Linked DNA regions of Caenorhabditis elegans. The protein of the gene in region 1 interacts with the protein of each later gene in a pairwise test. Each region holds a gene or a part of one and is shown on either strand. Other genes may lie near its edges. The genes, in order: cye-1, cki-1 and cdk-2.

What was found.
Region 2: the proteins of cye-1 (region 1) and cki-1 interact in a two-hybrid assay, tested with the Caenorhabditis elegans proteins (one study listed by BioGRID).
Region 3: the proteins of cye-1 (region 1) and cdk-2 interact in binary tests that used the Caenorhabditis elegans proteins (3 or more experiments, as listed by UniProt).

What each region holds. Positions count from the first base shown.
Region 1 is NC_003279.8:6,777,480-6,787,962, reverse strand, and holds cye-1 (G1/S-specific cyclin-E), read right to left. Parts: upstream 7,158-10,483; 5' UTR 7,143-7,157; coding exon 7,066-7,142; intron 6,977-7,065; coding exon 6,832-6,976; intron 6,161-6,831; exon of another isoform or gene 6,089-6,160; intron 5,973-6,088; coding exon 5,894-5,972; intron 5,851-5,893; coding exon 5,578-5,850; intron 5,444-5,577; coding exon 5,055-5,443; intron 4,796-5,054; coding exon 4,622-4,795; intron 4,581-4,621; coding exon 4,209-4,580; intron 4,149-4,208; coding exon 4,083-4,148; 3' UTR 3,567-4,082; downstream 1-3,566. Other genes in the region: acdh-5 (medium-chain acyl-CoA dehydrogenase), read right to left, coding at 893-1,042, 1,089-1,442, 1,679-2,031, 2,079-2,213, 2,545-2,862, 3,037-3,055; pqn-21 (C2H2-type domain-containing protein), read left to right, coding at 8,057-8,195, 8,316-8,525, 8,952-9,155, 9,209-9,447, 10,161-10,459. UniProt on the Caenorhabditis elegans protein: Essential for the control of the cell cycle at the G1/S (start) transition. In association with cdk-2, regulates proliferation, quiescent state and cell fate during the development of several cell lineages.
Region 2 is NC_003280.10:7,806,649-7,814,583, reverse strand, and holds cki-1 (Cyclin-dependent kinase inhibitor 1), read right to left. Parts: upstream 3,345-7,935; 5' UTR 3,326-3,344; coding exon 3,117-3,325; intron 3,060-3,116; coding exon 2,714-3,059; 3' UTR 2,479-2,713; downstream 1-2,478. UniProt on the Caenorhabditis elegans protein: Negative cell-cycle regulator that functions at the G1-to-S-phase transition. Required for suspension of the cell cycle in dauer larvae and starved L1 larvae.
Region 3 is NC_003279.8:3,405,133-3,417,617, forward strand, and holds cdk-2 (Cyclin-dependent kinase 2), read left to right. Parts: upstream 1-4,880; 5' UTR 4,881-4,892; coding exon 4,893-4,914; intron 4,915-4,990; coding exon 4,991-5,218; exon of another isoform or gene 5,219-6,263; coding exon 6,264-6,501; intron 6,502-7,879; exon of another isoform or gene 7,880-7,881; coding exon 7,882-7,948; intron 7,949-8,013; coding exon 8,014-8,172; intron 8,173-9,582; coding exon 9,583-9,840; intron 9,841-9,893; coding exon 9,894-9,938; 3' UTR 9,939-11,236; downstream 11,237-12,485. UniProt on the Caenorhabditis elegans protein: Serine/threonine-protein kinase which, in association with cye-1, regulates proliferation, quiescent state and cell fate during the development of several cell lineages.

The DNA.
Region 1 (10,483 bases):
TCTTACAGACAAAGGATGCATCGGAACTTTGAAAAAAACTCCTATAGAAGTTGAAAGGATTTTTCGAATTTAGGCTCGTGGAATTGTTAACTGCTATTGCTCAGACGCAAAATTTTGCCATTTTGTGCCAAAAATACGGTACCTGGTCTCGACACGACAATTATTGTCAAATACAAACGGGTTTGCGCTTTTTAAAGTACTTTTAAAGTACAAATTTTCACCGATTTTTCATAGCTTTTCGTTGAAAAAAAACATATGTACTCATTAAAAAACTAACATTTTAACAATTAAAAAAGAAACATACATTTTACTTAACAAGTCGTGACAAAAACTATGAAAAATCGATGGAAATTCCTCGTTAACGAAAGTTTTAAAGCTACAGTACTCCTTAAAGACGCATACCTGTTTGTACTTGACATAAATTTTCGTTTCTACACTTATGTTATATTTAGTACGCGATTAAGTATCTTGTACAATAGTTGTTCTATCATTAACGTATACAATTCAATTCTTCAAGATAAAAATTCACCAATTACAATTTGCAATTTTCACAACCAAACAGTACGCACATCTCAAAATACTTAAAAAATAAATAAAAACTGTTTCACATAAAAGTAGGCAGGCATCATAAGGCAAGGATTTAGATAGTCAGGGCATCAGGGGGAGCTTTAAGCTTCCTGTAGGTTTGAAAAGATATAAGCAGGTATGGCGTAGACGGCATGAGGTAGGCACCTAGGCAAGTATGAGGTAGACGTTAGAACGTAGGCATGCGTCAACCTTGATGGCTTTTTCACTTTAATAAGATCTCTGAAATCACTGAACACACAATAAAAAATTTTATTGCGAGAATACTACAGAAAGGAAAATAGAATAGCTACGGAATAAATCAATCCTATGCCTTCTTCAGTTGTCTACGTGACTGAGCCTTATGAATGATTCTCATCATGACCTCATCGCAACCGGCTCCGATCGAGAAAAGACGGAAATCTCGGAAAGCTCTCGAAATTCCATTTTCATTCAAATATCCTGCACCTCCCCACACCTATAAAATATCATTTAGAAATTGTGAAAAGTTTTGTATTTGTTACCTGCAAACACTGATCAGTAATAGCTCTAGCCAATCTTCCAATCTTCAATTTTGCCATTGCAGTCAACATGCTCACATCATCTCCACGGCTTCGTGCCAGAACAGTTCGATACAACAGTGCACGAGTTGCCTCGAGCTCTGCTTCCAACTCAGCCAATTGGAATTGAATGTATTGTTGATCAAGAAGAGTCTTTCCGAAAAGCAATCGATCCCTTGCATATTCAATTGTCTCATCAATACATTTTTGAAGTGGAAGAAGGCCAACAGCAACAGTTACAAGACGTTCATCATTGAATTGTTTCATTTGATATCCAAATCCACGACCTTCTTCTCCAATTATGTAAGATGAAGGGACCTGCAGGATTTTAGTTTAAAATTGAAATAAATTTCTTACTATTGCTTTTAAAAAGTGAAAATATGTGTACTGTAATCACGCAACTAGGTAAAGGTCCTGAATTGATGCAAGAATGTTCAAGCACAAATAATCAACGAAAAACTAATATTCAAAACTCGTGGTGAACTTTTTTGTTGGTATTTTGAAATTATCATTGTTGAAAACGAAATAATTGTTTTTTGTGTCTCAAAACTCACGCGAACATCTTCAAAAAATAACTGAACAGTATCCGAACTTCTCATTCCCAACTTATCCAGTGGAGTTGATCTATGAACTCCAACAGCATCCAATGGAACACAAACCAACGATTTATTCTTATGAACATTCGATGTATTTGATGTGTTCACAAGAACACACGCCCAATCCGCCTGACCACCATTTGTAATCCACATTTTCGAACCATTGATTATCAAGTCAGATCCTTGACGACGTGCGTGTGTGTGCACAGCTGATACATCGGATCCAGCATGTGGTTCAGATACAGCCAATGAACTGACAAGATCTCCAGTGATTGATGGACGAAGGAATCTTTCGCGAAGAGCATCAGAACCTAATATTCAATTATTTCTAATTTTGGTGGTAAACGGAAATACTCACCAAACTGTGCAAGTGCAGGTGTACTCATATCAGTCTGAACCATAACTGACATTGGAATTGATCCACAATTAATTGCTCCCATCTGCTCAGCAATTGCTGTTGCCATTGCAATATCCGTTCCAGTTCCACCAAATGCTAAAAATCGTTGGTAAAAATGAGAAATAACACACCGTATTAATTCTATTATTCTTGCAGTTTTTTGTATCTTTAAGGTTTTCCTCCCACCAGTACTATCTTTTTAACATTTTAGAATGATGTAGTTTTACAGGCTCTTGACATTTTTAGAACCCAAAAAGTTGGTGTTCTGATATTCTAATTGTAACCTGGAAGTTATTCTTCCAAGTTCTGAAATCTACGCTTTTGGTTTTTTGTGGTAACACTTTTTCGTTTTGAAAAGTCCAATCAAATAATAATATTGCATGGATAACTAATTAATAAAACAAGTTAGCTAAAAAAAGCGTATTACCTTCTGGTTTATTAACACCAAAAACACCATGATCTCCAAGCATTTTGAATACCAAATGTGCTGGATACCGCCCGTCTTGTTCCCATTTTGCCACATTTGGATTGATTTTTTCTTCGATAAGTTTTCCCAAACTCTTCTGCATGACAAAATGAGTTTCATCATAAATCATATGTTCCCTGGCTACTGGCTTTTCCGATTTCGGAGATGTTGATGTCACAGCAACTGAGACAGAACGTCTCTGATTACCAAGATTCGAACTTCTGAACTTGTTCAAGTTATTTGCAGCTGCTCCCAAAGCCGCATTATTTTTGAGTTTTGCTGAAAATTTGCTCAATTAGACCTCATTCTCCAAAACTAGAAAAGCTTCATCAGTCTGAGCCGCCGTGTGTGCATAGTTCCCTATTTACGCATTTTCATCAATTGATTGAATAGACATAGAGCTTTCGATATCAGAATAAATTCCACCAAAACCAGAAATTCACTCAAACTTACTTAACAAAGCTTGAAACATCACGGCAAGAAACTACGAAGATGAGTAGTGTTTTAGCCAAGAAACTAAATAATGATTCATTTTTTGATAAGAAACCCTGAACAAATTTTAACAAAAAAAGAAGATTAAACATTAATTAGAAATTCACGCAAACTTTTTTTTGATAAATTTTATGCTCTTTGGAATTTCATTTACAGTGTCTACAACTCTGCAATACACCTACAGTACCCCTACCGTACCACTTAATATAAATAAGCCAAAATCTTAAAGTAATTCTACAGTATTCCTGAGATGATAATTCATTTTAATTTATTGGAATATATTAATTTTTCATCAAATAAGTAAAAAAAAATATTGGAATGATGTCCTTAATTTTTTGCGGAGTAATTTCTGCTTTTTTTCCGAAAATTTTTCAGTGTTAAGAAATTTGGAGAAGGCATTTTGTTTCAACTCACGTAAATACTGTGCTTTTATAGTTTCTTAATTTTAAAATTTGAATGATCGTATTGTTGAAGCTAACAGAAACCCGCATACTCGTTAAAAATTGTATTTCGTATAAACAAACAGACAAAGACGAGTTGGGAGCGGGGTGGGGCAGAGGATATGTACCAGTTACAGTACCTGTTAAAAAAGTTTAGGGAGAAAGAAGCCTATTTCAAAATTTCCAGTTTTATGATACAATAAAAAAACCTAAAACATAAAATAAGCACAAAGTAAGAAGGGGAAGTGAGATGAGTAAAACAAAACATTAATAAGTTAATTGTAAAAGGGGTTTAAACACATTACAAAAACATCAAAATTCGGTAAAATAAAACGGAAATGCATCTTTCGATTTTCGGAATTTGAATATTTTTGTAATATGGGATCACTTGTTAAGTGAAGTTTTTGATATTTTCCGGGGTGCAATCATATTGAAATGGCACAGACTAGGTGAAAGAGAGAAAGAGATTGAAGGAAAGAATTAACGGGGACAACCTGTGTGCATGATTATTTGAAGTAAGTAATCTACAGAAATTTCGATGATAAAAGAATCCTATTGCGGGTTATTTTAGAAAAGTCGTTGCGGATGAAGACGGCGAGCTTTTAAATGCTGAATCCTCTCTCGTTCGCTTTTCTGGAAAAATAAAAATTATGAAAACAACCTCTAATTCATGAATTTTATATATCCACCTACCACAATAGGTTCCATTGAACTCCTTTTAACGTATACTTGAATATTGTGTGAATCATCCGATTTTATTGATTCATGTTTTGGAATAACATCGTCAAGAAGTTGTCGTTGTTTGGCGAACGCCCGGCACACCGGTTCAACATATTCAATAACTTTTTCAAGTTGAGCCTGCATAAATCCGGTAGCCTTCTCAACAGCACAAGTTGGCTCATAGTTGACAAAAAGAACAGCAGCAGCGATGGTACGATAGGAGAAAGTAAATGAGTCGATCTCAAATAGCAGAAAATCGAGAATTTTACACATTTCAAGATATTCTGAACGGAGTAATTCTGGCACGTACATGTTTTGCTCTTCGTAGTGATCAGACTTGTTCTTCTGAAAAAATATTTTAATCAACAAAAAATTTAAAATCCTACTTTGCCGGTTCCGAGTAATTGAAGATATGTTGAGAGCCATTGAATACTTGTGATTGGCCCAAGACTCCACCCAATATACTTGACGATAAGAACTTCCATAGTTCGAATATTATCACAGGTGAATGCACTATCGGTGAGATGAGCAAAATCGATGCACTTAGGTGGATAAATTTCCTGAAAAAAAAAACAAAAATTAATGTGAATCTATACTGTGAAAAAATTAATTGAACCCAAATTCTAGATCGGTGAAATATTTTATTAAAATTATTACCAGGCTTGCCGGTTTTTTTGGATTTTTGAAAAAGGGTGTAAATCGTAATATAAATATTTAATTCCGTTTGAGAACTATCGATTTTGAAGTGTTTTAGAATTTTTTTCGGTTTTGCTAAAAAAAAAAAACGAAAAATGTGTCAGTGAAACCCCTGATTGTTACCTCGTATTTAGCAGCTATAAATAGAGCAGCCGTCCCGACCAATTGAAAATTATCCGTTGAACATTCAACATTTGATGACTCTAAATATCTATCAACATAATCAACAGCCAAATGAAATGTTTCTCGGTGCAATTTTTCTGATTCACACACTTCCATCATCCAATCAATTAAAATACGTCGCTTTTCATCATCCATATCCGGATGATTTCCAAGCAAGAATCGTGTAGCACGTGGAATTTCGTCTCGTTTGACCATAAGAGACCAAACTTTTGTTGGTGATCCTATTCCATCGCATTTTGCTGTGCTGAGAAACGTTGGAGCCGTAACCATATGTTCGTCGTTCATGAGCCGTTTTGTAACGGCAAATCCTTCGTTTTGGACAGGATAATCTAAATTGTATCAAAATTGGGTAGGTTTTTCAGCTTGAAACACTGATACTCTCTTTGGAGACACTATTTTTTATCAAATTTTGATCTAAAATGCTAATAATTTCAAACGCATCATGAGTATTTTTGAAACTAACCATCTTCATCTTCAGATTCAATTTCTTCGTACTCCTCTTTATCGTTAACAACATCCTCCTCTTCATCATCAAAATCATCCTCAATTTCTTCTTCAATATCCTGTCTCTCTTCCAATCGGACCATCTCATGACTTTCTTCAGATTCGGCAAGATTATCAGATGAAGATGATTTATCAAACACTTCTTCTTCCTCAGGCATAGCTGGAAGTGGTTGTCCACGGGTTCTTGATGATTGTGATGATGAAGATCCAACTTCACGATCATCTGAATATTCTTCAAACAGAATATCATTTTTACTCTAATAAAACTAGATTACCACTAATATACTCCAAAGAATCTTCGCGGCTACCATTTCGATGCTTCTCGCCCGAATGACGTTTTGCAGCTGGACCTTCCTGTAAAATTAATAAATTATCAAACAAGATTGAACCACTATATAATTTTGTTCAAATTTAGGAAACTTATTTGATCGTCATGATTCTAAGCAGAAGCCAAAATGCAAAAAGTATTTAGGGGGCACCCGGAGTTGAACCAGGGACCTCTCGATCTGCAGTCGAATGCTCTGCCACTGAGCTATACCCCCAGATGAACAGTGAGACTCAGACGGCAAACAAGTATTGGACATACAAAGCGGACACAAAACTGTGTTCTGCATACGAAAGAGACTGGTCACTATGACTATCGATGTCTGCGTCTTATTTTCTCGCAAATCTGAGGTGCTGGTGTGAACATGAGATGAGAGAAGAAAAAAGAAAACGGGAGAATGAGTACATTTTGGCGCACTATTACACTGGTCAAATACAAAGTGTCTGTTTCTCAGTGCAAACTTTGTTTGCAAATTATTTAACGAGAGATGTTTCCTGTAGAACCCAGACTACTCAATATTGAGCGTTTGACTGTTAGTTAGTTACCCACGAAATTCAATTAATTTGTTAGACATTGTGTTTCTGGATGAATGCTGTTACCTAAATAAGTTAAATTCAAAACTGAAAATATAGCAAAATGTGTTTAAATCTAGAAATATTTGCTAATTTTGTTGGCAAATTAAAATGTATTCCTTACCCCCATTCAGCTTAGTAACAATCCGCAATCGTTTGACAGTTTTTCTTACGGTTTTCGAAAAATTAGAAGCAAAAATCTCTTTAGGCATTTGTACAAGTAGTAATATTATAATTTAAAAAAGTACTTTTCTTATCACTCTCTATTTCATTTCCCTTGTTCCATCTTAAAATGTTCACTGATAAGCACACAAACCTTAGTACTTCGTCGTTTTCTTGTCTCAGAACAATCTGATTTCTGACTTCCAACGCTCGAATTTCGGGTATTTCGTTGTGGAATATTTTCCTTCATATCAATTGCAGTCTCCAGAAGACGTTCACGCAGTTCGTCATGTGGAGATCTGAAAATTAAAATTTTTCGAAAGATGAATAAATATTTATAAAGTCTAAAAATTATCAGTTCTCTAATATCCATCTAAATTCAACTTACAAAATAGCAGATTTTCTTTCTGGCTTTTGTGTAGTGGGGACACGTTCAGCCGTCCTTGATGACTTTCTTCCAGCCATTTTGATCAAATTTCCCTGAAAATATCAAGTCGAGCTATTCAAAATATTCAAAAACAAATAAATAGGAAGATAACGACTGAAACTGGCTCAAATAACAAATGTTGTGCAGTTTTGAGTGTACACAATAGGGAGAACATAAACTATCAGTCAGAGGTGAAGAAGAATAAGATTTTAAATTCATAAAATCAGATAAGATTTGGTACAAGTGAATGAAGGTCGTTTTGGTTTTAGATTTAGATTTGCAGTTATTCCATTAAAAATTATTTAAGATTTGAATTAGGTGTGAATTTAAAATATAAACTGAGCTCATGAAACTGTTCATGTTTGCACGATACTTTCTATGCTTGAAATTTAGAGATTGATATCTGATATTTAATGAAAATTAATAAAGAAATATCAATTATACCATAACGAATGTCTAGTGGACATTACGCAATCAATCTGTGAAAGTTCAGATAAAACCGAAAAAGGTCAACTACAGACAACCTCCGTCATATGGTCTCTAGATTCAAATCGCGCGCTCATTTCGCGCGTTCCCTCCGATTTGCCGCCGTCCTCCCTGATGGTCTTACCACGATCTCATGTTTCTCTGCCGTCTCCAGAGAGATGAGAGGGTGCCTCTTGACACAGAGACGCAGGCAATCGACACGTACCAATAGAGGGCACAGCAACTGCCTCCGGAGATGTCAGACAATTGAGAGAATGAAGAAAAAACATCCGAAACACATCTTGCAGTTGTTTTTGTTTTGTTTTCATAAGCTACCAAATAAGGATAACGTTTTTCAAGTATCAAAACCTTCAAAACTATATCTATTATTTTTAAAATTTCTCTCATTTCAAATTGTATTTTAAAAATTTGATTATTGCTTTAATTAAATCTTTTGTAAAATTTTAATTTTCAAATTTTCAGCAACATGTCAGACGATGAGGACGAGGGTCGTCTACAGATCGATGAAAGTCCGTCCGATTCGGAAGACAAACCATCGATTTCAGCGCCCCCACCTCTTCCTCCACCGTTGCAGGAAACCCCCGAATTTCAAACAACTTATGACGGTACGTTATTTGTTTCAATGATTAACAAAAACTTCTAAATAATTTTTTGAAATTTCGTTTGAAATTTTTTTTAAGAAAAAAAAAATATTTCTCGTAAATCTTGAAAATTATTGCATTTAGCTCACGATCAAGCGGAAACTTCTGGAAAAGAAGACGGCGAGTTAGATGAGGATGATGAGAATGATGATATTGAACCAATGGAAATTGATGAAGAAATACAACTAGAAATTGATGAAAAACCAGAAGATCTTGTCAAAGACGAACAAATATCCGAGCCTACTGATAAAATGCGAGAAGAATTTTTAAAAGTGGAAAAAACAGATGAAAATGGTATGAAAATGGTAAACGGAAAAGCAATGAATAAGAATGAAAGATTGCGAAAAAAAAGCAATTTATTTCAAACAAAAATTTTTGGGATCAGTGTGAACACCGCCACGCGTAAATGCACGAAAGTCGCATCTACCGTAGCTGCTCAAATAATTTCAAAACTTTCGAGAGATCCTCTAGGGAAATGGAAATTCAGGCTATTAAAAACAAAATAGATAAGCGAAGGCACTAAAAATTAAAAATTAACAATTAAATTGCTTAGATAGTCTACTGCAAATAGCTCTCTTCATTAACATTTAAAAAAAAATTATGAGCGCAATATAAGAAGAATGTTCGAAATTTTAACAGAGAGTCCAAGAAAAGTAAATATACTCATAAAAACTTGATAAAAAATATTTATTGAAGAAAAAACACGGTTTATTTTTCCAGCTGTCGTTGAGTCAACATCATCATTCTCTCCGAAGTTAATCGATGAACAAGATTTAAAAGTTGAAGAGATGTCAGATGAGAAACATGCTCAATCGCCTGTTTCATCCGATATGACAACATCAAAAAGTCCAACACCTTCCAAAAAGGAAAATGGACTGATGAAACCACCACAGAGCACAGAAAAAGCTCAAAGAAAGCGTAAAGGTTTGTATCTTCGTAGTTAAAGAGCTTTTTTTGAAATTTAAATATTATTTCAGAGTCCACAGATATTTTTTCGAGTGAAAAACGCAAGTTAAGCCTTGAAACAGTTGCCTCTTCATCATCATCATCTGGATCTTCAAACCTTTCAACAACTCCACAAAGATCCAAAAGATCTAGTTCTCATATGGCTACCATTGCTATATCAGCATGTTTCACTGACGAAGACATAGTTTCAGTACCAATGATGCCTATTCAGAAGACACCTGATACTGCACCACATTCGAAACGGGCAAAAGTAAGAAAAATTAAATCAATTCTGAAAATTGTAAAAAATAGATTTTGCTTCATCACCACAGACGCGAAATATTGCGATTTTTGCACCAGAAATACGGTACCCGGTCTCGACACGACAATGTTATTAAATACAACAACGTGTGCGCCTTTAAAGAGTACTGTAATTAAGAACTCATTGCTGCAAAATTTTCATCGATTTTTCCTAGTTTTCGATAAAAATATATTTATTTATTAATAACAAAATTTTAAAAAACAATTAAAAACACATACATTTCAACACAAATTGTGAGAAAAATCGATGAAAATTCAACAACAACGAAATTTCTAAAGTACAGTACTCTTTAAAGGCACACACATGCTTGTAATTAACAAAAAATTGTCACGTCGAGACCGGGTACCATATATTAGAGCAACAAAAGCAAAATTGCGCCTGTAAGTCTGAAATTCCGAAAAACCACAAATGAAAAGTAAATATTAAGTGAAAAAGTTGAAATTCTACTTTCAAAACGTTTTTCTTTAAGTTTTAGTAAGTGTTTTGAATTTGCTCCAAAGTGTGAGTTGCAAGACCAATAATCGACGGAATGAACGTAGTTCGAAGACGATTTTTCGTTTGTGGGCGTGGCTTATCATTTTGCAGGGAATTCAAATAGACGAATCAATACTTTAAAAAACGAAAAATTATACATTTCATTATTTTTATATTCAACTTTTCAGCGAGATATCGGAACAAATGTGATCACAACACGATCAACAGATACATCTGGTCTTTTATGCAATGAAGCAATAATGGATACCCCACCAGGATCCCAGATGACTCTTGAGGTTACTGTTATGTACCGAACAAAGAATTCATTAGCATTCCGTGTAAAAGGATGTGATCTTATTGGATTTATTGGTGATGGTCTACCTCCAATGGCATCTTCATTGACAAACAATATTGCATCATCAATGGGTAACAATAACAATAAAAAGAAAACTGCAAGTAGTTCTGGAAATGAAGAAGGAAAAGATGGGTGAGTTGGTATAATTAATGACAT
Region 2 (7,935 bases), on another chromosome or scaffold:
TGTCATCAATCAAAAAACCGATGTCGGAACATCATAAATTATTAGGTTCCTCTTCTTTCGCTCATCGTCTGTCTCTATCCGCTTTCATACACATCAAATGTCTCTATATTGTGCCGCCTGTTTTAATTAAAAGGAAAACATTGAGCAAAAAGTGGAGAGTACAGACAATGTTTGCGCATATTGCAATCTAATTAGGTCCATCTATAGGCATTCCGATGATTTATGTACTGACTTGACCCTACCGACACAAGGGTGTTCCCTCTTGTGTATTCTTCGATAAGGGGAAGGAACCGCCAAATTTGCATACGTTCAGGCGAGCGTTTATGATGAATAAAAACGGAAGCCGAAAGAATACATCTGCCCTTTTTATGCCTTGTTGGCAGCCGGTTTGCATAGATAATATTGATGTGTGCATGCAAAAGAAGAAGCCGATGACAAAGAAGACAGACGATTGTCAAAACATTAAGCCTTTCATCTCACCGTTTTATAGACTCACATTATGTACTGTATTCTTTTAGTGTCTTTCTAAAAATCTTTGTAACTTAAAATGTTATATATTGACAACTGGACTAGGTATACGGTACTTATTTCTCTCCTCACATTTGTTTTTCAGAACTCCCACTAAGCCAGTTCCAGTGCCTGTCACACTGATCTTGAGTTAAAGTTTTTGCAAAGATACTTTTTCCACTAAAAACCTCGTGCGTGAACAGTTTCTTATCGCTTCTCTCTACCGAACAAAGGTTCTCCAACGTCATCATTTTTCGATGATAAACAATGATTTCTACTTTTTTTGGTTTGGCACAACGCCAAATGTGTCATGTCTATTTTTCAATGGGAGTCTATAAAGTTGAAGGATTGATGAATCCAGTGGAAACCTCATAAAACCATCAAGCTAACTGTGTGGCGCAACCGTAAATCAGGCGTCACTTTATCGACCACCATCACTTCATTTTCTCACTCTTTTATTTCTGGATTGCAATTGGTACCAGCTGGTTGAGAGAGGGTAGGAACAGATTGAGAACTGTTCCAAACAACGTTTAAGTGCGTATTTGACACATCTGTGCACACATAGGTCTCCTTCTTTCCCCATTCTTCACGCGAACGTTACAATGTGTGAGGATCGATTGCATACGGACCATGTCCCACTCTTGACCGGATTGAGAGAGGTCATCCAGCGGAGCGAGATGGCATGCCAACACTAATCCACAGGAGGTTATTCAACTCACTATTGTTTAACGGACATACCTATTCACAGAATATTCAATGAATATAATGAATGGGGAATTGGAGCACAAATTTGAATTTCTACCAAACGAAAGACTGCAAAAAATATATTTTGGTAGAAAGCACATACCGTATTTCTTCTATTACTATTGCACCATATTGTTAAACTGAAACGGTTTATGTCTCAGTTGCCGTTTGTCTTATAAAAAAATTGTCAAATGTCAAAATATTTATTATTTGTTTTTTCTATAGTTTCGTAATTTATTATTTAATGATAACTTTAATATAATAAAAGTAGTAGGGTGCAATACCATTCGATGATATACAGTATTCTCCGTTGACAACACACTACATTAAAAATTTAGAGAATTAGTTTTAGAAAAAATTTAAAAATGAACAATTTCTTACGGAAAATATATATAGAGATTCTTTACAGAAGAAAGTTTTCAGAAATTGTTGATCCATTTCAAAACGTTTTGAAGAGCTATTTCAATTCCCCTTTTATTCAATTCTTTCACTTTAAAACCACATAACTCATTACTCCAAACCACTAGCTCCATCTCTCTATCCACGTCACATAAATTTCTGTTCTTCTCCATCGATCATCGAACGATCCCGGAGAGGGACGTAGTGCCCCTCCACGCCACGTAATAGCCCTCCCGTTCCCTCTTCAAAATGTCTACTCGGAGATTGAATGCAAACCGCAATAAAAAGTCCGTTCCAAGGTCTTCTCGTGGGGAACTGTCTTTCTGGGTTGAATAGCACATAAAATATAAGAAAAGGGAGGAGGACGATGTTGATAATGTACTCTCAGAAAAAGTTATGCAATAAAAATGATTTATGGGACTAGAGAAGGTCCATTGATATGATGACTTGGTGTTATGTAATTAGTAATCAAACATGCTTATTTATTATTAGCATATACTCATAAACGTTCCATATTACTCAATTTGAATTAGAGAAGCCTAATCCGGCTGGTAGCTACCTAAAATTCACGCAATCTTCACGCAATGTCTATTTGGGTGGCAGTGGGTGAACCGGGAAAGATTTATTTGATCTTACAACATTTACAGAATGTTTGAAGTTTGAAGTTAATGAAGAATGTTAGAAGTTTCAAAATTATGCGCGGAATTGTACCACTTTTCGTGATTTCAGTATATTCTTTGCTGAAGTTACCAATGGAACTGCACCGTGTGCCAGTTTCTATTCGTCTTTTTTTTTATAAGTTGAAGAAAACACCAGAATACAGTTCTTAAAATAATTTCAAAGGGTTTATTTTTCTTTGAGTTGTTTAAAACAAATGGCAATGGGAAAAAAGAGTTACAGAGTTCCTAAACATGGATCACAGGGCTTTTGGAACAAACAATAAAACATTTGTGGAAACATGACTAGTTGAACAATTAAGAGAGACTCAGAAACTGTCGAGGAGATAATCAAATGATTAGATTCAACCCGTGGAATTGGGCAAAAAAAAGTCAAAATGAAACCTCTAGTATGGAGAGCATGAAGATCGAGTTCTGATCGTTGGACGACGAGATTTTGGAGTGAAGATCACATTCACCGGAGACAGCTTGTTTGGAGACAACGAATTCTTCTTACGGGAAACTGCCATGAAGTCGGTCATCTTCTGCTGACGCTTTGTTGGGGTCTTCCGTGGAGTTGGTGGCTCTCTGAATTGCCACTTCTTCGGTTCCTCTTCATCTTCGAACGAGCTGTTGGGATCCATCAGCGAGGGCTCCTCCTTATCAGATGTGCTCGGAGAGCTCAATGGAGTCAAAGTCGTTGAGCTGATGTCCAGCGATGAGCATGTGGTTCTGACAGTGAGAACTTTGGTTCTGAAAAATGAAACTGTTTAGTAAAATAACTATGAAAAATTTATAAAATTCAATTACCTGTAGAACTCCGGAACACAATTCTCTGGAATAACTTCATAAACGAATCCAGCAGAGCTTGGGAGGGGAGTCTCCAGTTCAAAGTCGAATCCCCATTTCTGGCTTTCTTCCTGGCGCATGCGCTTAACAGCATCTTCAAGCCAAATTCGAGTCCTGGAGCGTTGCTCGGGCGTCGGACGACCGAAAAGGCAACGACGAGCAGAAGACATTTGAAAAGAGTGAGGAAACCTGGAATAATAATAGTTTACATAAGAATGCATATCAAAATCGCAGTAAGAAGAAGAAGATGAAGTAAAATCATAAGTAAAATTGTAAAAGATGTGACGATGCTCTCAAGCGAGACGCCCTCCCGTCAGGAACACACATACATTTGAATATATATCCATCGAGGGAATAGCGGAAAAGAGGGGAGATACACGCCTTCCACGAGAAGGGGTGGAGTCATATGCGCGGAGGCAAAGAGGGTGTAATAGAGGGGTACTGAGGTGGTGGCCCGGTCATCAAAGTGCCCGAGGTCAGCAGTCGGAGAAGAAGGGGAACGGACCAAACAAATATTCAATGCGCAACGACTGGTGGCACCGACTCGGACCACGAATGAACGGAGGGGGATCAGATTTCTTTTGGAATGCCGTACTTTTTTGTGCGGAACCGAAGTGGTCAGATGAGAAGCATAAACATTTCGGAAAGTTCTTAGTGACGAGAGATATCTGATTATAGAGACGCAGAGAGAAAAATTAGTGCTCCGTGATTATGAGGAAACAGATGACAGATTGCACTTTTGATGAGGGCACTCAGTCAGAGATCTAGACAGTGAGAAGCTTTCGTATTGAAATGCTCAGAACTATCAAGATTATGGTTTACGAGATGTATTAGAAAGGTGAAAGGTTTTGACTAGTGAAGTATGGAAAAATGTATTTTTTTCTAGAAGAGAAATTATAAACAAATTGGCTTGCTCATGTCTGTCTCACTCCTTCTGTCCACTACAATATGTGTCATTTTTGTAACAAAAACATTTCCCATCCGGTTCTTCTTTCTACTCTTTACTAAAGAGGCACCTTCGTGCTGGATGGTGGTACGACTATGACTAATTGGATAAATAAATAGAATACCGTTGTGTTGGATGGGAGGAATGTATATCAATAAGATGACTAGTCTAAGGTGTATAGTTGGATGGGTAACATGATAGGAAGAAGAAGCAGTGATAACAACAATAACAGCCGGAAAGCAATACGGTACATTTGGTGACAGTGAGGAGCTCTGTTCAAATAGGCGGTCTCGAGTACTAGATAGTTGACCCTACGATTGGTCAACAAATAATATATGTGAAAGAAGACTGTGTGTTGTTACTTGTGATTAGGAAAAGGAACAGACAGAGAGACGACTAAGTGACCGACATTTTTCAAAGAAAGTAAAAACACAGGTGGGTTCTATGATTCACACCAGTTCTGTCTAAGCTCTTTGAGCTCAACTCAATTTAAAGAATAGTTATGGAAATGAGGCCTAGTTTTAGTTAGATACCATACATTACAAAAAAGAGCCAATTTTTAAAAAAGAAAGAAATTATGAACTATCGTAATACTTTAGAAAAGTTTTAAATCCTAAAATAATTCAGAAAAAGTCTTGGCAATTTGTCATTAAGAACTACCAACCGGCTGCTCGATCTCAACTCTCAACGTTTTGCACCGAGAAACGAGCATCTGTCCGGCTGGTAGATAGGATATGTGTGCGCAGAAGGGATTGTAACGAAGAGTGGTGTGGTTAGCTGAAGGAAAAGAGCCAGATGTTCGAAACGTTGAGCCTCGACCAGCATAACAAATTATGTAGCACGTAATTATGAAACCATTCACGGTATAAGATGAAGCTCAACCAGAACGGTAATGAGAAAAATAAGAGAGAGGAAATTAGCTTTCCGTGGGAAAAGCTTAGACACATTAGGAAGATGTTAATGTCATTAAGGATTAGAGGTGAAGCCGGAATAAATTAACAGGTTAAAATGAAAAATGAGACCACCCAGTGAAGCCGCACCTGTTAACTACTTCTTTTCGGAAAGAACAGATCCAATAAACATATCGGCGAGTTACAAGGGGGCGGAAAACGAACAAAATGCGAGAGAGACAGCTCGTCTCTTCTATACTTCGCTCCGCCCATATTTTCCGTTTCGACGCCGCCCCTGGTGTTTGGCACGTTGCCAAGAACAGAGAGAGTGCTGAAGAAATAGAGACGCAGCGTGTCGCATCAGTATCGCTGCCCCGCCACCACCCGATCATCGCAACTTTTGTGTTATTTCGTTGGTATGATTGAAGCATGAAAATAGTACGGGAACTGGTGGAAAGTTAGGTTCTGGCGTGAAATTTGTTGATAAGATTACTGCTATCGTTATAATAATTTTGGGTAATAATGTAACACCTTTTGAAGCACTCTAGTACTTCAGTTTGGTTCTGGCAGTTATCAGCGAGAGAAATTTTGAAAAAGTATTACCACGAAATATGGTTTTTTGCTCGGTGACTGTACATTTGTCAAGTGATAGAAAGTTTTGAAAGTGTTGAATAGAAAGTGGCTGACTGACGACCTGCAGGTTGTTCTTATCAATAAGTTGAATAGTGCTCCAAATGGAAAAGACATGTATATGCACATAAAGAAGCGAATGATAGTTCTTAAGAAATAAACGTCATGTTGAAAATAAATTGTCGAAATGGTTACTGAACAAGGATGTGCAAAAAATATTTTTGGCAAATCTACAGAACTGCTGATTTCAAAATGATAACTCAACTTTTCGAATCAAAAACTAACATAGATTTATATTGAAATTTTTCCAATATTTCTATGCCAAGTTTATTTTTATTTTTAAAAAAGGATCAACGTGCTCAAATTTGCAGTTTTGTAGATTAGAGGAAAAATTTTACAGCCCAGCTGCACAAGGACATCGCATAGTTTTTTTAAAACAAAAATCTAAAATTTCAAAATTTGCAGACCCTTCAATAAATAATTCTAACCTAACTTTCTCTTAGTACTTTGATACTGCATTTTCCCTTTCACTAACCTATCCCTTCCATGTTTGTTTCATTACTTAGAATCTTATCTTTATATTGAAATCTCAAATACTTCTTGTGAGTACACCGTCTTAAAACCGACTAATTCATCATCATCTTCATCAAGGGATCGTCTCAGATCATATGATGCCGAAACGGGTTTCAGATCTCTTGAAAATTGAAACGGTTTTCCCAGCACACAAACAAACAACTTCATGAATGAGAAAAAAGCGGCTTCATCTCATCCATTGACACCGTTTTCCCGCCTAGATCCCCGCCAAAAGATGTTGAGGGAAAAAGGAATTTGCGAAGAAAAACATAAACATTTTAGCAACATTTTCTTGCGAACACACATGTTGAATGTGGGGTAACTGGGAGGCCGGATAAAAGAAATAAATTTTGTCAAATTCATGTAATTTCTTTTGTCTTTGAGTTCCGAACCACTTGTGCCACTCGGTGAGAAATGAGAAGATGAAACTAATTTTCGAGGGAGGCAACAACGAACTGATGGAAATTAATTGGGTTTTCAAGAAACTGTGACACGTTCGAAGAGTTCTTTTTAAGTGGTTTGCGGTTTGGGGTATGGCTCCGAGCTCATGGCTTTTTACAATGTTGTACTCTAAATTCTCGAACGTTTTTTTTAATATGTGCAAACAACTGACTAACCAAAAATTTTGACAAACAGAAAGACAAATTACAGGAAGCATAGAACGTGGACCACCAAACATGTGTTTGTAGTCAACTTTGATTAAGTTTGATGCATAGGCATACAACTCTTGCCTACCTGCCTACAATGCATTTACGTTAGTAAAAACACAAGCTCTACAAATGTAGAGAATATTTGTTAGGTAACTAAGAAAGCAGGCAGGCATGATTGAGACGGGCGTCGTCTACGACATCAGAGCTACTTTAAAATATAATTATATGGCACGTAATTTTATAGTTTAAGTTGTTGAGTTTCCGTGAAACAGAATTACGAACGCAAAATCAACAAGCCATATTTTTTTGTTTTTTAAAATTTCAGTCATAATATTTTAAATTTGTATCAACACGGAGATTTTATTTTGACCTTCTCAGATACTTTACTTCATAAGTTCACCCATCCCATGCCAATTTATATTATTGTCACTGTGCCCTACTTTTTATTTGGATGATTTAGGTTTAATAATCGCATAAGACTTTTATAAAGCCTTCAGAAATAAAAAACGACTGAACATTTTAGAATCGCGTTCTCAAAAAATCTCTCTCGATTTTTTTCAAATTCAATCATTTCGCGCCACGCGAAAGAAATTGAAAAAAAACCGGTCCACATTTTACTTTTGGCGCCAAGAAATTTCGACAGCAAAATTTTCTCTTTCTTTGTCTCATTATTTCGTTTTCACATGTGTGAGGTGAGCGAGTTGGAAAGCAAAAACAGCAGGGCGAAATGGTCATTTTCGCGCGCCCCGCAGCTGATCATGGCAGTACGATTGGCATGATGCCAATGAAACATGTGATCAGAAGGTGTCTAGTCATGTTTTTGGTGATGATGACTCAAATTGAATCGCAACTGAAAATAATTTGCTAGGGACTGAAAGCAATACGGTGTGAGCTATTATTACTAGGGAGAGAGAAGTAGGTTCTCAAATATTACAAAATCCTACGATCATCCCTATCATGGATATAGATGAGAGAGTTGAAAAAAAAACAAATTTTTAAAAAATGATTTTCGCTTTTAAATAAAAATCGAGCAACTAGGCTTTTTCGAACAATTGAAAAATAGTCTTATATTATTTAATTACTAATAGAAG
Region 3 (12,485 bases), 3.4 Mb from region 1:
ATTTCAATCAGCAAAGTTTGAAAATAAAGTAAATTTTATGAAAAAAAAATGATATCCGGCAAACGACAAACCTGCAATTTGCCGGAACTGAAAATTTCCTTCAAAACGGCAAATCGGCAAATTGCCGGAATTGAAAATTTCCGGCAGATCGCCAAACCGGCATATTGCCGGAATTGAAATTTCCCGGCAAAACGGCAAACCGGCAAATTGCGGGAATTGAAAATTTTCCGGCAAATCGGCAAGCCGCCAATTTGCCGAATTTGCTAAAACAAAATTGCCGCCCACCCCTGCTGTAGTGTACCTTTAGAACAAAGATAGGGTCTCGCCACGAAAAGTTGGCAAAAAATTCTAAACCACTAGTGACGTCATTTCTCTTCCGCATGACATTTAAAAAGGGCAAATCATGGCACATCAAAAATATTATTGCGGTTATCAAAATAAATTGCCGATGAATACTCATGGATAAGGTGTCACATTACAAAAAAGATTTGTATAATGTACGAGTGAAGAGTGAAGATAACGAGATAGACATTGGGTAGAGAAGAGAGTGGCTATCCTATCAGCTCTCGAGAGATGAACACATATCAGTAGGTGTTTCTGAAATCAGTGTCGTCGAGCCATCTGAATCTCTATGGCTCGTGGCGGTATATCTCTTGCTCTCACTTGATTCCCGTGAATCTTCTGGCCAGTGATTAGAGAGTGCTTCAATCAGGGAGTCATGGGAGAGAGTAGCAGCAGGCCCTCCTCCACTCCAGGACTATTGTGCAACACGGGAAGATGGGGGAGAAGCAGAGTCAGGTGTTTAGAGTTTTTGTGAAATAACAGGGGCCCTCTTTCTCACTGGATAAAACCATTTGGCAGTCAGCTTATTAGTGATCAAAGGTGATTTGACAAAGGGCGCGCGGGAAGATAAGTGGAGAGGGAGGAGGTGACAAGAATGTTCGAGAGTATTGTCTAGTTTGTAGGTTGCCTTCACATTTCTCACTTTGGTTTTTTTTTTTGGTTTTTTATTTTAGACATCTAACAATGAGAAATTGTTGCGATAGCTTACGCAAATGGGTCTCACCACGCGAGTTACTGTAACTCGTATAAGTTTTAGTTTATAGTTCTAGGGAAATGATTATAAATGATTTCTATGGAGCTAATATGGCAAAAAATCATTTTAAAAAAGATATAAAAAAGGAAAAAATTGAAGATTTTGCTGAAAAATGTTGGGGGAAAAATCAAATTTTCTAAAAAAATATATTGCCGGGAACTTCAAAATTTCAAAAATACTTTGGGCGGTAAATTAAATATTTTCAGAAAAAAAATTTGGCTGCAAATTCAAATTTTCAAAAATAATATATGCGGGAAATTCAAATTGTCAAGAATAATTTAGGTGGAAAATTTAAATTTCCTCAGAAAAAAAGCTTTGGCAGGAAATTAGATTTTTTTCAGAACTTTTTTCAGAAAAAATATATGGCGTGGAATTCAAATTTTCTCTGTAAAATTTTGGTTGAAATTCAAATTATCTTTAACAATGTTTTGGCGGGAAATTCAAATTTTCTCAGAGAAAAATTTTCAACATCAACAAGCTTTTAGCCTTCCAGATAAAAATTTAAAAAATCACAAATAAAATTTAAAAATTCGCTAAATCTTTGGTCGACTTCCAAATAGCGATAATTGCTATTTTCCTGTGAATGAAAAAATTCGAAAACATTTTTGAAATGTTTTAAAATTTAATTTTTTTGTTCAAAAAATTTTTGTGAACTCATGCTTCAAACTATTGGAAAATTCCGGAACGGGTGAGAAAATAAGTGAATTCGTTTAGGTTATAAAAAATGAAAATAAAAAGGTTTTGATGTTCGACCCGTTCCATCTTCCAAGTTCTCTTCTCCCTTTGAACCATAAATTTCTTTTTCTCTTACACACCACACTTCCAAGGAGGAAGCGCCGAGCTCAGAACACAAGTGCAAAGTGTGATTTTCTTAACAAAAAAAAAAGAAGGAGGATAATTAATAAAACCATACCTCGTTCAGATATCTGTCAGCAGCTGGGCGCATAAGAAGTCGTTCGCTGAAAGAACAAGAAATTGAATAGAACGTATGTAACGGGATATGGCATCAATCAAATAAAGCGACGAAAAGCGTCATTTGCCATGAAAGGATGACCGCCGCCGCGCCCCGTACTTAATTGATATGAGATATGTATATTGGATTAGGTGAATACTGATTGTTGAACTTTTAGCATTGTAGCAAAAAAATTTTCAAATATGGTGTATACGGGAAGATAGAGGGTTTTGTTATGGAAACGCAAAAAAAATTGTCGTTTGAAATCGAGGTGCAAACACGCTCCCATGCCAAATGAAAATGCTCGCCCCCCAAACGTTGGGTCTCGTTAGGTATTGACGGCATATCCGTAAATTGAAATTTTTTCATTTATTTTTGAAGGAAAATTTCTTATTACCAAATTACCAGAGGTGAGCGGCAAACGGTTTGTGAAATTTATCGGGAAATCAGCAAACCGGCAAATTGACAATTTGCCGGAAAAAGGGCACTTGCCGAAACGCCAAATTGTGGCTTTGCACATTTTTTTTTGGAAATTCTAGAATTTCAATTTCAATCAGCAAAGGGGTCTTGAAAAGGGTCTTATAGAAAAATCCTCCAAATCGCCAAAACGGCAAATTGCGGGAATTGGAATTTTCCGGCAAAATTTAGCACAATTTGAATCTCAAAAATGTGAGCTTTTTTTTAGAAAGTTACATTTATCTGAAAATTTAAACGAGATATTATTGTTTTTTAATTTGCAAAATTTAATATGCATTTTTGAGACATTTTTATTTCAGATTTTCCACAAAAAGTCGAAAAAAAAAGAATTTTGTACAAAAGCTTATGAAAAAAATGCTGGTTAAAAGTGGAAAAATGAGCCGAGAGATTCGGTCACTCGAATCCATCATCTCGGACGCTCGAGAAAACACACACGAAAAAATGCTCATCAGGTGTTACAAGTTCTTTGTGCAATCAGGCGTCTGTGTCCAATATTCTTAGAGGGGGTAAAAGTGTGTGTAAAGTAACGGGAGCAACAAAAAAAATCCATAAAATCAGGAGAAATTACAAGAAGAAATGCATGAATGTAGACCGGCGAGTGTGGAGAAAAATGAAAAACGAGGAGAAGTGGAGAGGGAGACATCTGGAAATTGCCGATTTTAATTGAAAATTCGGAGGAAAAATGAAAAAAGTTGAAAGAAAGTGCATTTTTTCATTCAAATTTTGACTTAAAATTGCGATCTTGGGTCTTGAAACGAAAGAAAGTTTTCCGTTACCGTAACCCGTTCTACTAAAGGGGCACGGGTCTCGCCGCGATGAAAAGTTATGGTAGCTTTTTTTCAGAATTTTTGGGATTCTCTTGATTTTAAATGATTTTTTAAAAGTTTTTTTCAATAGATATTTTCAAAAAACTACCAAAAACTACCAATACGTGAACACAAAATTCTGAGAATGCATCCTGCACAACATATTTGACGCGCAAAATATCAAAACTACAGTAATTCTTTAAATGACTACTGTAGTGCTTGTGTCGATTTACGCGAGCGATTTTTGAAATGAAACTTAATTTTAATACTCTATCGTTGAATAAAAAAATATTTTAATTCATTTCAAAAAATCGAGCCCTTAAATCGACCAACAGTAGTCATTTAAAAAGGATTACTGTAGTTTTCGCTACGAGATATTTTGCGCGTCAAATATGTTGTGCAATACGCATTCTCAGAATATTGTGCTACTGTAATATATTTGTGTTTCTTATTCAGAAAAAACCAATATTATTAAATTTTCGAATGCATTTTTTTAACTAAGAATTATTCAAAAAACATGCCTAAATTCTAAAAATAGAAAAAAATCCGCAGCAATGAAAGTTTGAAATTACAGTATTCTTTAAAGGCGCGCACCCGTTTGCATTTCACTAAAATTTGTCGCGTCGAGACCAGGTAGTGTGTTTTTTTGCGAAAAATCGCTAAATTGCCCGTAATAGTAGTAGTAATTCGATCGTACCAGGACCCCATTTTAACTTGAATTTACTCGAGAAAATAGGAGTCTAAGCCTGAAAAAAAAACAAATAAATACATTCAATATATATATACACAAAATCTTAGAAAGCTGTTCTTTCGAAAAGACGGCGCGGTTAATTGAGAGTTTCCGAATGCGTCCAGATGCAAAATAATTGGATGTTGGAGATTTATTGACTTCCTTTTTTGTTTTTTTATTCCCCATTTCGAGGGGGGAGAAGAAAGTCAATAAACTGCGTTTATAGAATTCTCGTTTTAATATTAAAATTTAATGTCGAAAATAATTAGATTTTTATTCCAAAATCGCCTTTAATTTAACGACAAATAAATATATTCCAGAATATCCTTTGGAATTTGAATTCCCTCGGTTTTTCGCAGAGAAGGATTATCAGTGGAGCGTGATTGCGGCAATTCCTAAAAACAATTTTTAATTTGGTTCGCAGAGGCGTTAAAACGTTTTTTTAGCGATTATTAAGCCTAGGAAAGTATATAATTTTAAGAATTTTAAGTTTTTCATCAAATAATTATTGAAATTTAATTTTTTTTTTCATATTTTTAAATGATCACTACGGGTTTCCCTGTTCAAAAGTGTTTTTTTTTAATTAAAAAAAATTGTTAAATGTATCGATTCTTGTGCAATTTTATTTAATACCGCGTCCTTTCCTTACCACATTACACCGGTCACCCCCCGTAGACCGTCTCATTTGCCCTTTTGTCTAACCTGCTGCGTCTCTTGTTCTTTTTCGTGTAGCGCGGGAAAACAGAATTCAAAACCCGTCATTCTTTGAGAAACTCTTTACCGTTAAATCCTTTTTGAAAATCTTAATTATCTTCCAGAAAACAACGGGATATGACAACCGATATCGCTCCAGGTAAGCTTTTTTCCGAGATTTTCATTTTTTCAATATTTAATAAAAAATAAATAATTAAAATAATTTCCCATTTCAGAAAGAGACCTGCAAGGTCGCTTTTGCTCACTCCGGCGAATCGGCGAAGGAACGTACGGAGTCGTGTTCAAGGCGATCCACGTGCGTGACAACGTGAAATGCGCTCTCAAAATGATTCGCACCGATCGCGACGAGGAAGGCATTCCGAGCACGTGCCTTCGTGAAATTTCGTGTATAAAAGACCTTCAGCACGATAATATTGTGACACTTTTCGATATTATCTACGCAAGTGAGGCTTTTTTTGCTGATTAATTTGAAATTTGAAGTTTCAAATTTTAAATTTTAAAAAATTCATGAGACTCATAATACTGGAAAATCGGTGTGAAAATTGCTAAAAATTGATAAAAAGATATAAAAATTTTGGTTCAATCTGTAAGTAATATTTTTTTTGCGGAAAAGTTCGAAAAATCCCCTTTTTTAAGGTATTTTTCTAGGATTTCTAAAAATAAATGTTATTTTCAGATTGAACGACCTTACATTTTATGTTATTTTTTGATTATTCAAGTGAAAAAAATCGAAAAATTGAGAAAAAAGTAGAAAATCCCCTAGATTTATGAAAAATATGTTGATTTTGATGAGAAAAAAAGAATTTGTGGCCAAAATATTAGAGAAATGGCTGAAAATGCGATTTTTTCCCACAAAAAATCGAAAAACTACTAAAATGTTAAAATTGGTGTAGTCGAATTTTTAAAATTGCTTTATTAGACTCAAAATTGTCTGAAAAACCGAATTTCATACTGCTTGAAAACTTCTCAAAAAAAATGTTATGACGGCTCAAAAAAATGGCCTAAAATTCGTTAAAATTTGAAATTTGACCGATTTGCCAAGCGGTTGGAAACTATTTTTTTTTTGAAATCACCGTCAAATTTTGAGCATACGATGTAATTATCTTGCATTTTCAACTCGATTTAGGTATTTTAAAGTCGATGGACTGCGAGATTTGATTTTAAAAATTAAAAAATCTTTTCTCACCGTCCATCGACTTTAAAATACCTAAATCGAGCTGAAAACGCAAGATAATTACATTGTATACTCAAAATTTGACGGTGATTTCAAAAAAGTTAGTTTCTAGCCGCTTGACAAGTCGGGCAAATTTCAAATTTTAACTAATTTCAGGCCATTTTTTGAACTATAATAACATTTTTTTTGAGAAGTTTTCAAGCAGTATGAAATTCAGTGTTTTTAGGCAATTTTGGGTCTAATAAAGCAATAAAAAATTCGACTACACCACCTTTAAGTTTTAAATTTAAAACAATTAATTAATCAATTTCCAGACAGCAAACTCTACATGGTATTCGAATTTATCGATCGAGATCTGAAGAATCTTCTGGAAATGCTTGAGCCAACGAATAGTGTGCTTCCGCCAAACTATGTGAAGTCATTCATGTGGCAACTTCTATCAGCTCTATCGTATTGTCATCTCCGACGGATTGTTCACCGTGATCTGAAGCCTCAGAATATTCTGGTTTCAGATTCTGGAGTCATCAAAATTGCGGATTTCGGATTGGCAAGGTCAAAAAATGTTCTATAGATGTTATTTATGCTGCTGATACCGAATATTTTGATTTGAAAAAAAATTTTTTTTTTAAATTTCCTTTTATTATTTTTCAGGGAGGGTAGAGTTTTTGGGTATTTTGCTTAAATAGACTAAAACCGGTCCAAAACCAAAATTTTTTTATGACCGGTCAAAATTTCGAAAAAAAGAGCCAAATTTTGCTAAAATCTGAAATTTCGCACACTTTTCTTTGTCACAGCCGCTGGATTTTAGTTTTTCTGAAATTATCACCCTTCAATCCTTATTTTGGTAGATTATCTCGCGGAAATTCGTTTATTGAAACACATTTTGAGTCGATAGGCATCCAATTTTGATCATTTTTGGATGCCTATAGGTCTAAAAATTGTCTCAATCAACCAATTTCCGCGAGATAATCTACCAAAATAAGGATTAAAGGATGATAATTTTAGAAAAACTAGAATCCAGCGGCTGTGACAAAGAAAAGTGTGCGAAATTTCAAATTTTCGATTTTAGCAAAATTTGCCTCCTTTTTTTTCGAAATTCTGACCCGCCATAAAAAATTTTTGGAATTTTTTTGTGAAGTCTCTTTATGAAATTCGGTGGTTTTGGACCAGTTTTAGTATATTTAAGCAAAATACACACAAACTCTACTCCCCATTTAATTTATTAAAATCCAAAAATTCACCTATACACGTGTATTCAGCTCGACCAACGCATCGAAAATTTTCGAAAAAGGCGTGAAAACATATTTGAATTCGCCAAGAGGAATTTCACCGCAGCGCATGCAAAAATGTCTGCATTTGCGCGAGACGGTGTTTGCACAAATTACACCGAATGGTCGAGCTGAAAACACGTGCTATAGTGTTAACTTCAAACGAAAATATTTGGAAGATAACCGTGCCGCAGGTGTGGATTTACGAGATTCATATTTTTCATCCATTTGTATCTGATTTTCACCGCGATTTTTCTGATTTTCCGATGTTTTACATTGAAATTCTGGTGATTTCCACTAATGTATGATTTTTTTATTAATTAAAACAACCAAAATTTTTACATTTTATTTCCTTTCATTAGTAAAAATTGAAAAATTAATGAAAATCACAAGATTTTCAATGTAAAACAACAAAAAAAAATGAAAATCGGGAAATTTGGTATGGACATTTTATAAAAATAGATGAAAAATATTAATCTCGTAAATCCACACGATTATCATGCAAAATGTGTCGTTTGAATCTAACACTAGGTGGATTTTCGGATTTTCAAAAATTAATATAAAATCAGGGATTTTTTTTTGAATTTTTCACATTTATATTCGGTATCAGGAAAATTTTAATAAGGGGTTTGAATTTCCTAATCAAATTTTTTGTTAATTCCAGAAATTTCTCGTTCCCCAGTCGAAACTATACTCACGAGGTGGTAACTCTTTGGTATCGTCCGCCAGAGGTATTTTCAACATTCTGAAATTATTTTATTCAATTATTTAATTTTATTTAAAATAATATTTCCAGATTCTGCTCGGCTCGCAACGTTATTCAACATCACTGGATATGTGGTCGCTGGGATGTATATTCTCCGAAATTGCATCGAATAAGCCTCTGTTTCCAGGCGAATGCGAGATTTCACAGCTATTCAAGATATTTGAAATTGTTGGAACACCAAATATTAAGGTTTATACCGATTTGGAGAGGAAAATTCGAATTTAGAGTCCCAGAAGTACACTGTGAATAATTTGTGTTTAGAAAAACTGAAAATCTCTGAAAATATTCGATTTATGAGATTTAATTTTGAAAATAATTCATCACATTTCAATATCACTCATATGCGATATTTTGGCGATTTTAAATACGGCACAGGGTCTCGAAACGAGTGGTTTTGTGAAATGTGAAAACGTGTGCGCCTTTGAGGAGTACTGTATTTCTCAACTCCTGGGTTTTGCAGAATTTTTAAATATGGGATTTCGAGAGAAGCGCGAGATGAACTTTAAAAATCTAAAAAAATTTTTTTTTTCAGAAATCTTTCGCCTCCCCGAAATTTAGTGAAAAACTGAATTAAACCATAGAATACGTTTTTTCCGATTTTCAACAAAAAAATCGAGTATTCGGAAACGAAAAATAGTTTAAAATTTTGGACTTTTTCTTCGTTTTAGAGGAAAATAATCGAAATTTAGGTTTTATATCTTCAAATTTCGCGATTTTTGTTCCACTGAAATAATGTTTTTTTTTAATAATAAAATACAAATATATTACGAGAACATAAAATTCTGAAAATGCGTATTTCGCAACCTATTTGACGCGCAAAATATCTCGTAGCGAAAACTATAGTAATTCTTTAAATGACTACTGTAGCGCTTGTGTCGATTTACGGGCTCGATTTTTAAAATGAATTAAAATAATTTATTAATTTAAATAACGATAGAATATTAAAATTAAGTTTCATTTCAAAAATCGAGTTCCCGTAAATCGACACAAGCCCTACAGTAGTGGTTTAAAGAGTTACTGTAGTTTTCGCTACGAGATATTTTGTCAAATATGTTGCTCAATGTACGCATTCTCAGAATTCTGTGTTACCGTAATATATTTGTGTTTTATTATTTCAAAAAAAAAAAACAAAAATGGCGAAGTGTGAAAATATTATTCGGAAAATTGAATTGTTTTTCTTCCAAAAAAAAACATAAATTTCGATTATTTTCCTTTAAAAAGAAGAAAAAGTCCAAAATTTTCAACTCTTTTTGAAAAGATTTTTTTGTTGAAAAATCGGGAAAAAAAGCGTTTTATTTGAAAAATTAAATTTTCTCGAATACACTCTACACGGATTTCTGGCTTTCCTCATAAATTGAAATGGAAGAGTTTGCCGAACTAGACCATTTTGGCTCGGCCATATCTCGGGTAGATTTACGGTGCGTTGCGTGTCGCGTCGCAGCTCGATTTTAGTTGTAAAACTAAATGTATTTGTCCGTGTGAAGTACACGACTTTCCCACGGTGATTGTCGATGGAGCGCGAAAAATTTAATGAGGAAGGCCAGAACCCCGTGACTTTAAATTATTCAAAAAACTTTTAAATTCGAATAATTTTTGCAGAGCTGGCCAGGCGTCGACTCGTTTCCCCACTACAAGGCAGTCTTTCCACAGTGGCCGGTGAATTTGAAGAAGCTCGAAGAAACATCATGCCTGACTGGAAATGGTCTTGACGTGCTTCGTGAGATACTTCGTTATCCACCGGAGCGACGTCTCACCGCGAAAGGTGCTCTCTCTCATCGCTACTTTCTACAGAACGGTTTCACCCAAAACCGGCCGAGTGTCACTGATTTGATGAAGGATATCCGAGCGCAGAACAGGGTAAAGTTACTGGAATATTTGGATATTTTTTTAATGAAAAAAAATTATTTCAGACGCCACCGCTGCTGAACAATCATCAGGAGAAGTCAATCTTCTAATATATCATGTCCTCCATAACCTAAACATCGTGTACTATGTCCTCTCTTTTTACCGAGTCTTTCCTCTTCAAGGGTGTCATCGAACGAAATTATCGATTTTTTTGGGTTTTTTCAGAGAAATTCAAAAAAATCGAAAAAAAAAGCGCAATTTTTTAAATCAAATTTTGTTCATGTTGATAAGAAAAACACATGAGAAAACATATATTGTTCTACTAAAAAAGAAAAAAATTGCAAAAAATTGAGCTATTTTTGAAAAATCGGAAAAAATTGTTTTATTCAAAAAATTCAATTTTTCTAGGTTTTTATCATTTTCGTGAGAAAAAAAACATATTTTTCTACTAAAAAAATTATTAATTTTTTTCGTTTATTTTAGTGAGAAAAAACGTAAGAAAACATAATTTTCTTCTGAAAAAAATTACAAAAATTGTAATATATTTTTCGACAAATCGGAAATTTTTTTTTCCAAAAATCAATTTTTTTCAAAAAATCGGGAAAAAAAGTTTTATCTAAAAAATTAAATTTTTTCCCAAATTTTGTTGAGAGAAAACAGATTTTTCAACTAAAAAATGGTCAAAATGTTCAGAATTAAAAAAAAAATTTTTTCAGAAATTTGATTATTTTAGGAAAAATTAAAGTTGAAAAAAATTATCAAATTTCGATTTTAGAGAAAATCGAGAATTTTCGCTTTTCTGATTTTTTTTTGAGAAAAATAGCTTCAAATTTTGGTAATTTTTTTCAATTTTTGAAAAAATTACATGTTTTCTTATGCTTTTTTCTGATCCAAAAACATTTTTTTTTCAATTTTTGAAATTTCTCTGAAAAACTCAAAAAAAATTCGATGTCTCCCTTGCTCTCCACCCACTCTTTCTGCTTCATCGTTCATTTTGTATCATAATTTTCCCACCTATTTTGCTCCAGACGTTTTATCGCATTATTATTTTTATTATTATTATTTTGCTCCAAGGGAATTTCTACAAATATTTTTCATTAAAATTAAGAAAATTTTTATTTCAGTTGGAACAGCTGAAAAAGTACAAAAAATGACGATAATTTGCCGGTTTTTTCACCTTTTAAACTGAAAAAAAAAAAATCTTAATTTTAATTTTAATGAAAAATTTTGAAGCCCCTCACCTTTTTTTCATCCCGTATGGGTAGGCTTTTTCGATCTGTCACAATCATTTGCGGGTCGTCTGATCCTATATTCCCTGATTTCCCTCCACCCAAACTTTATTTTAATCGTTTTTTTCTTTTCCATTTCAATTTTATTATAGAACAAGAACAATAGGTTTCTCCTCTAACTTTTCCTTTTTTCATTCCTGTAAGAGTATACTCTCTTACTTTTCCCCCCGCCCGCCGAAAACCGCTCAGATTTGTGAGTGGATATAGGGGGGGATCTTTTCGCGATCTTCCCCTACCCCTTTGTTTGCTCAATGAGCCCCGGCTCAACACAAGCCGACAGCATCAGCACCAGCACCAAACCGCGCGTTTAATTGGTTCTCGGGTTGTGGAAAAGGTAGAAAAAAAAACTTCTTGAAGCTTCGATATTTGATATCAACTGAGCCAGCCAAAGAAAAAAATTGCGTGAAAAGGTGGAGAGTATTGGGAGAATGAGCATTTATTGAAGGTTATGTGAGAAATTGGATGAATTCGGGTTTTGAGTGGGTAATGAAGAACAAACAAACAAACAACTTGTAAAGGTACATTTGATTGTACGGATAGCCCCCGTGGGGAAACTTGTGTTATGAGTTGTGAAGCTAAACTTACAAAAATTATGTTTTACATTAAACGGAAATTCGTTTCGATTTTTCAAAAAATGTCAAGTTTAAACTCAAAACTAGGGTCCCTGGTCTCGGAGCGACAATTTTTCGTTATGCTGAAAAACGTGTGCACCTTTAAAGAGAAGTACTGTAGTTAACAAGTTTATTGGCAGCGATTTTTCATTTTAGTCTATTACGGGAACACAGTATTCTGAAAAACAGCACATTTGACGCGCAAAATATCTCGTCGCGAAAACTACAGTAATTATTTAAATGACTACTGTAGGTCGATTTACGGTATCGATTTTTTAAATGACTTAAAATTTTATCGGTAGAATATTAAGAATTATGCAAAAATGAGAAAATAAGGCTCATTTCAAAAGATAGAGCCCGTAAATCGACACAAGCGCTACAGTAGTCATTGAAAGAATTACTGTAGTTTTCGCTACGAGATATTTTGCGCGTCAAATATGTTGTCCAATACGCATTTTTCCAAATTTTGTGTTCCCGTAATATATATTATTTAATTAATTTAACTTCATAATTTAACTTCAAACTGCAGTTTAGCAATACATTTTTTGATGAAACGAGAAATAGTTTTTAGTTTTTACACTATGAAGAATGGAGGAAATTGAGGAGCACTCGCGGTTACGGTAGCTGAGAAGCTTTGCTCGTTACGGGACCCAAGCTTTCAGTTTCGCCTGGAATACGCACAATTTTTCGCAGGTTTTAGTGTCTTAACTGGAATTTTAACTGGAAAATTAACGACTTTAAAGGCGCGCGCATTTAT